2 linked regions of the Mus musculus genome follow. The protein of the gene in region 1 binds, or shares a complex with, the protein of each later gene. Links are inferred from orthologs where the notes say so. Each region holds a gene or a part of one and is shown in the gene's direction. Other genes may lie near its edges.

What was found. The genes of interacting proteins can lie anywhere in the genome.
Region 2: the proteins of Ntsr1 (region 1) and Nts are in contact, whole or in part, in a crystal structure (PDB 4BUO), measured with the Rattus norvegicus proteins. The link is inferred for Mus musculus from reciprocal best matches to the Homo sapiens genes NTSR1 and NTS. Residues at the interface, in NP_001102437.1 of Rattus norvegicus: Ser53, Asp54, Leu55, Asp56, Asn58, Phe128, His132, His133, Tyr146, Met208, Val224, Cys225, Thr226, Pro227, Ile238, Arg327, Arg328, Phe331, Cys332, Tyr333, Ile334, Ser335, Asp336, Trp339, Phe344, Tyr347, His348, Tyr351; in NP_001095851.1 of Rattus norvegicus: Arg157, Arg158, Pro159, Tyr160, Ile161, Leu162.

The regions. Positions count from the first base shown.
Region 1 is NC_000068.7:180,498,980-180,502,726, forward strand, and holds the start of Ntsr1 (neurotensin receptor type 1), read left to right. Parts: upstream 1-996; 5' UTR 997-1,438; coding exon 1,439-2,152; intron 2,153-3,747. UniProt on the Homo sapiens protein: G-protein coupled receptor for the tridecapeptide neurotensin (NTS). Signaling is effected via G proteins that activate a phosphatidylinositol-calcium second messenger system.
Region 2 is NC_000076.6:102,487,878-102,491,624, reverse strand, and holds the start of Nts (neurotensin/neuromedin N precursor), read left to right. Parts: upstream 1-1,206; 5' UTR 1,207-1,301; coding exon 1,302-1,371; exon of another isoform or gene 1,372-1,438; intron 1,439-3,632; coding exon 3,633-3,694; intron 3,695-3,747. UniProt on the Homo sapiens protein: Neurotensin may play an endocrine or paracrine role in the regulation of fat metabolism. It causes contraction of smooth muscle.

The DNA.
Region 1 (3,747 bases):
GGACTCTCCAGGATCCAGGGAGGAGTTTTCTGGAGGAAGAGGGCAGGAGAAAGGCTGAGAGAGCCAAGTGGGGAAATAGAGGCAAGGGCCCTGGGGCAAGCAAGATGGCAGCAAGCCTGGAAGCTCTGGCCAGGGCCCCTGCCAAAGAGGACAAGATGAAAAGACCTTTGTTCCCCGGGTCCCTGACTGGGGCAGGGTCCCCTGAGAAAAGCTGTGCTGGGCTGAGTGCACAGGCTTCAGGGTTTCCTGCAAGGACAGACGCAGCTCTGTGTCGCCCACAAACCTGCCCTTCCCCTCTGAAACGACAGGGCACCAGCTCTGAGAGTCACTGCTAGTGACCAAATCCAGGTGGCTACAGGAGGGCAGAAGGTCCCATCATACCCAAAGGCAGCTAAGACCGTGAGACTGCGTGGAGAGATGGGCTGCTCTAACTTCCTGCTCTATGCTTTCCTTCACCAGACCCTTCACAGGCTAGAGGGCCCCCCTGGGTGCTTCTGGCACCCCACAGGCACCCAGAAGGGAGGAGGTCGAGGCAGTTGTACAAAGGCCCTGACTTATCAGCAGGGTGCCGCCTCCTTCTCCGCCTTCCCCTCGAGTACACCCTCGTGTCACTAAGGGAGCTGAAGACGGCTACGGGGAGCTTTCTTTTTGGGGTGGGAGAAGTTGGGACCAACGATCGTGAAAGAAAGATCGTGCTGCCCAGGAGAGGTTGAAAGGAAAGATCCAATATCCCCTCATTCTCCCTCGCCTGGTAGGGAATTCTGCTTCCTGGGGTACTCATCCTAGCCCAGGTGGTCCCCGGGAGCGTGCAGGAGCAACCGTCAGCCAGTATCCGGGTGGGGAGGGGACAGTGGCTGTGGCGTCTCTGACTCTCCAACACCCACCCTCCTCCACTGCTGGGCGCGCCGCGCAGCCGCCAGCTCAGTGGAAGCGCGAGGAGCCCGGCAGGCTCCGGCGCAGCAGGAGGTGTGCGAAGTCGGGTGCGGGAAGAGCTCCAAGCAGAAGAGGGAGAACGAGGGTGAGCACGCTGGGCAGCCGTGCGTGCGCTCCTCTCTGCGCCACAGGCTCGCCCAACGAAGCACAAGCCAGCAGGGTCGCGGTCCTGAGGACATCGCTGCCACCCAGGAGTGCAGAGAACCAACCACAGAATCTGGAGGTCGGTAGCAGCCCCGATCTAGGCAGGCTCGGAGCCAGGGGGGGTGCCGAGGAAGAACCGGAAAGCAGATCCCAGACTCTGAAGGAGAAAGAAGAGTGGATCCCTGAGCCGGCACGTCTCGAGCCCCAGAGCTCCCAGGATCTCCTGGATAGCTGGCTTCGCCGCCGGACGGCACGCCCCCCTTAGCTTCCACACCCTCTCCTCTGAGCGCCTCCTCATCTGCCCCTGGAGGGACTTTCACCTTCAAAGGTGCAGGACAAAGCCGCATATCTGGCGCCCACCATGCACCTCAACAGCTCCGTGCAGCAGGGAGCCCCAAGTGAACCCGGTGCCCAGCCCTTCCCACATCCACAGTTCGGACTGGAGACGATGCTCCTGGCGCTCAGCTTGAGCAATGGTTCTGGCAATTCCTCAGAATCCATCCTGGAGCCCAACAGCAACCTGGACGTGAACACTGACATTTATTCCAAGGTGCTGGTGACCGCTGTATACCTGGCACTTTTTGTGGTGGGCACTGTGGGCAACTCGGTGACAGCCTTCACTCTAGCGCGGAAGAAGTCGCTGCAGAGCCTGCAGAGCACTGTGCATTACCACCTGGGTAGCCTGGCACTGTCTGACCTGCTCATCCTGCTGCTGGCCATGCCCGTGGAGCTGTACAACTTCATCTGGGTGCACCATCCCTGGGCCTTTGGGGATGCTGGCTGCCGTGGCTACTATTTCCTGCGAGATGCCTGCACCTATGCCACAGCCCTCAATGTAGCCAGCCTGAGTGTGGAGCGCTACTTGGCCATCTGCCATCCCTTCAAGGCCAAGACCCTCATGTCCCGCAGCCGCACCAAGAAATTCATCAGTGCCATATGGCTAGCCTCGGCGCTGCTGGCTGTACCCATGCTTTTCACCATGGGCCTGCAGAACCGCAGTGCCGATGGCCAGCACCCTGGTGGCCTGGTGTGCACACCCACGGTGGACACAGCCACCGTCAAGGTCGTCATCCAGGTAAGAACATCTAAAAGGGGACTCTCTGAGCTGTGGCACATTAGAGGGCACACCAGGGCAGCTGGTTTCCCGTCTGGCTGTTTCTTTCTATTGGAGCCACACAGAGACTTTTAGCAGTGTCACCTCAGAAGTCCCGGTGATTCAAGGCACCACCTGGGGAGAGACACAGCCGTGTTGCCTTGTGGAAAGAACTGTGCCTCAGAAGCACTTTATTCTTCTCCCTTGTCCCAAAGTAGGCCCCAGTGACATCATACTGAGCAACATATGGAGAGCGCTCAGCAAGGCTCCTCTTAGGAGGTTGGGAAGGGGCGGGGCATAGCCATCAACTCCTCCTCAACTTTTCACTCCCAGTTGCATGCCCCTCCCTGCTTCCTCCCCTCCTGTTGAAGGGGGCTTGAGCCCCAATCAGTGACTTCTGTTTACTGTAAGCCCGAGGATACTCTCAGGGAAGAAGGTTGCCATCAGCCATCAGGAATCCCTGACTTCCCAGGCTGAGTCCCCAAGGCCTTCTGGCTGCCTCTCCTGGACCCAAATCCAAGAGCTGGAGCTTTAATCTTGGAATTGTTCCCAGTTGAGTTACACTTTCCCTGTCTGTGAAGGGAGGTGATCAAAACATGGTCAGGAGGGCTCAGAGAGGGGTTTGCAGGCCCCCAGTCTGAAGCACTCCAGGCCCTTGCTGCTGTTAGTGCTGTTTCTGCAGAGCAATCTGAAGTGTCTTTGGTATGACGAGGTAAAGAAAAAAAGATTGGGATGATAGACTACAGTCCTCTGCGGTCTGAGCGTAGCACCAGGGGACCAGATGGGAGCCCTCCTCGGAAGTTACCAGCAGAGTAACTCAACATGGCAGAAAGCTCATCAGGAGCAGACCTTGAGGTGGGAAGGGGGCATCCACAGGGGCAGCCAGAGCAGAAGTGACATTTTAAGCCAGGCATGGTTGATTGTGCCAATACTCCAGAGGCTGAGGCAGGAGGATTACAAGTTTGAGGCAAGCTGGAAAGTAAGAACAACAACCAGGAAGGAGGCGGGGGGGGGGGGGGAGGGCAGGGGGAAGGAAGTTTAGAATAATTTCTTGGCTGTAGATCCTGGGCAACTGTAGAAATACAGGGAGGGTTCTCTTTCACCACAGGGTGGTCAAGAAAAGCAGCAAATGAGAGGATCTGGCTGAGGGCTCCTGCCATGTTAGAGGGTCCTCCAGGGAAGCTGGCTGTGCCATCTGTCTGTTTCTTTCTTCACCAAGCCATCTATAGACTCCCAGATCCTCACAGTGAGATTCTGTGGTCACATGGTATGTCCAGGCAACACCCAGACACCAGAAATGCTGGGTCAGTTGTAACCCACATTCCGATGCCAGGCAACTCAACAGTGCATCTCTGAGGTGGGCCATGGGGATAAGTGTCCCTGTGTGAGGTCCCCCCTGAGCTGCCACTCCTCAGGGGGACTGAGTCAGTGCCCAATGTTTCTAACAAGGTCCTCTGCATTTAGGCAAGTGCACATTCGTTGGGTGTTCCACGTGACAAGCAGTAGGATTCAAATGGCTCCTTGCTTCCTTTGAGGCAACAGGCTTCTTCCTCCAAGCTCCTGTCTTTGATGGGCTT
Region 2 (3,747 bases), on another chromosome or scaffold:
TAAACAAATCTCAGAAATCTTTGGTTTCAAATGTTCACACCCCTAACACCAGTTCAGAACACTTCTTGTGTTACCAAGGACCGTCTACAGGAGGAAAGCTATTGCTCAAAAGGCATTTGAGCAATTTTCTTCCAAGAATGGAGAGAAGGAAAGAAGAGCATTGTAACTCACAAATTACCTGAAGATTTCGCCTTAGAATTGTCACTGTGGTGGATGGCATTTATATAGAATATTTTTCTGTCTAAAAGTACAGTCTGCTTTCTACAAAAAAAAAAAAGGATTAAACTGAAGAGAGAGTTGATAGAATGGGGAGAAACAGAGAGAGGGGAGTTATGAGATAAAGGAGGGGGGATATTGCATCAGTAACAAATAACGAAACAAACAATGCAGCAAATATGTAATTAATTATGTAGTTAATTGGGGAGGTATTAATACAGCAATTCATAGTTTACCTTCTAACACATAACCTACTTGTGTTTTTATTTTATAAACATTATTTAAAATATCCAATGAAAGAGCAGCATATGTAACTTAGTCTCCCCTCAGTTACATATAATAAACTTTCAAGTAGGTAGGATATAAAACTACTCATTAGATCTAATTTTCTTCCTTTTATACTGACTTTCCCCTTTTCTTTGTATGTTTCGTCGTCACATTACATTATTATATCCAATTTTCTTTTGCCTGTTTCCCTTCCTATTTTAGTACATGCTATGTAAATTCTCTATGAGTTTTGAGACAACGAAGCCTGTTCTCAGAAGTTTGTGTTACTAGAAAATATACCCCAAGTCTTTAAGACTTCCAAGCAGTGATTTCTCCCTAGAACTTTTGCTTAAATATGAGAAATTACCAAAAAAAAAAAAAAAAACCCTTGCATTTTAAAAAATGAAAATGACAACTATCTGGAATGGGGGCATGATAGAAAATTAGGGGGAAAAAGGTACCAGAAGTACCTCTCACTATGCTGTATATGGCAGTGATTTTGAACAACTCTTTCTGTGAGTCAGAAATCCTGAGCAACAGCTGCAATTAGGGAAGATCGTCACTTTCCATCAAGGTTCACGGGTGGGGGATGAGATAAGGGACAAAGGGAAAGGAGGGGGGATGGAGATGAAGGCAGAGCACATCCTGTGTAGCCATGACATCATCCTCCTGCTCACATATATATAGGGACTGGCCACAGCATCCCTCACAGTTCACTCACTTTGAAAGCCAGCTGAAGGCAAGAGGAAGCACCGAGAGAGAGCTAGCTCCTTCAGTGTCTGAGTGTGTGGACCTGCTTGTCAGAAGGCTGAGAGAAGATGAGAGGAATGAATCTCCAGCTGGTGTGCCTGACTCTCCTGGCTTTCAGCTCCTGGAGTCTGTGCTCAGGTAAGCTCAACTGCATCTCACAACTCCCTGAAGTGAGGGATTTCTCTCGCAGTCTGCTGCTACTCAGGTAAATGAATCCAGGAATCTCTCTCTCTCTCTCTCTCTCTCTCTCTCTCTCTTTCTCTCTCTCTCTCTCCCTTCCTCCCTCCCACCCTCCCTCCTCCCCCTTTGTCTCTGTCTCTCGGTGTCTCTCTTTTCTCTCCTCTCTCTCTGTCTCTCCTCTCTGTCTCTGTGTCTCTCTATCTTAGTATCTCTGTCTCTCTCTGTCTCCCTCTCTCTCTCTCTTTTAGTGAAAGAAAAACTGTAATTATCATGTTTCTCTCCCATTCTGATTATAAGAACTGAAATATATATTTTTTTAAATCTGTAAAGCAGTTCATGGTGCAAGGAAATGCAACACGTTCTCCTTTGGAATATGACCACTAAAGGGAAAATCAATATGAGTAATAAGACAAGGGTGGAAATTTGAATAGAGGCAGTGCTTGTCAGCCTGCAGACAAGTAAAGATCTCCTTCGCGAGATCTTATTCTCATCTCTTCTCATTGTCTTAGGTGGTGGCTTCTCTCACTTTCCTTTGTGATTTTCCTCAAAATATTTTTAACTCTGTAGGTGTGTTAGAACATGTGGAACAAATAGCAATAAATAAGATGAGTGCCTCTAATACAGCAAAAGTGTCCCAAGTCCTTTGTGAAAGTGCATCTTTATAGAATTTCATTGTGGCAGTCATGGTGTTAATATAGCTGTTGCTTTTCTGAATGTAATTTGAGTTGGCACAACCTATAACCATAAAACTGGTATACTACTATGTATGATAAATTTAGCGTTAGAGTGTTCAGTATATAACAGTAAAGGAGAAGGGATGTATTCTCATTAGGTGTGTATTGCCTCTCCTTAAAAATAAAGTAAATTTAAGTGTAATATGAAATATTTTGACGATTGCAGTATATTTTAATTAATAATTTGAAAGTAATTGAACAAACACATAGCAGTGGAAAATCTTAGAGAGTGAAGTAAATTCACTTATATTTGTTACTATTGTACTTAATAACCAGGATTCGGCAGTGTTAGCTCAAACTAAGATTTTCTGAGTGCAAAGATAACTATCAGAATGGATTGATGATTTTATTAGTGTAAGATCCTGTAAATATTTTATGAGCCAATGCAGTATTCTCATAATTATAATATTATCAAGTAGTTGCAGAAAAATAGTTATAGATTCTAAAAATAGCTTATTTATTAAAAACCATATATTAACTCTTGAAACCAATTTCTGTGACATGGACACATCTTTATCAGTGATTAATAAGATTAATCTTAACATTCCATCTGAAAAACAAACAAGCTAGCATGTATGTGTAACAAACTGAGCAAAAGTGTCTCTGGAATAGCTCACCTCTTACGTATACTTTATCAGTTGCTCACATCAGGTGGAATCCTGTGTTTTAATGACCACAGAGTAAAGAGTGAGGCAATTTTAAGCTCTGCCTTCTATTATCACAAGAGGCTAATGGATATTAAATGCTCTACAACATCTTAGTATTTCTAAATTTCACTTCTTCATGCAATACACATAAATGGAATCTGGGGAAAATGTGTTCTGAGATGAATCACGGATCTGTTTGCAGCAGGACTTACCATGTGTTGATGAGCTCTGACTTTGCTTAAGCCATTTCTGCACTCGCTGACGGAACACTGAAAGCACGGGATGCAAACCTCTTGTGTAAAACAGAAACCGATTCTTTCAAAGAGTGTTTCACAAGATGACATGTGTAGTGAAGTGAATCTCAGTGTCTTTTTTATTCTAAAATTACCAGTGAGTAATTCCCTGTGGCTTTGCCCCAAAATAAGAAGCAGCACTTGTATTCATATTTCATTATGTTGTTTGTTACATACATATTTTCACGTGTGAACTATTGCCGGTGAGAATAACATAGTGCAGGTTTTTTTTTTTTGGATAAGATCTGCCTTGTACAATATAATTAAGTGTTTTACTGAGATCCAGTTAATAGGCAATTCAAAATCATAAATACTTATCAAATTAAGATGCGCTTATTTTCTTAGAAGTGATTCTACTATAGAAGCTGTCAGCATAAAATTAAGCTGTGATATGTTTCTTTTTGAATATTGCTTTGAAGAAATTAAATACAGAAGACAATAAGCTTCAAAGATGAATCCTTTAAAATAATTTGAGATATGGTGGTTGCAATATAATTATATGAAGTGTGATTACATAGTAAGCGTGTGGTTTTAATTTTATTCAGATTCAGAAGAAGATGTGAGAGCCCTGGAGGCAGATCTATTGACAAACATGCATACATCCAAGGTAACTAATTTCTTTGCTTTAACCCGAGGTAGGAGGGTGTATGAATATTCATT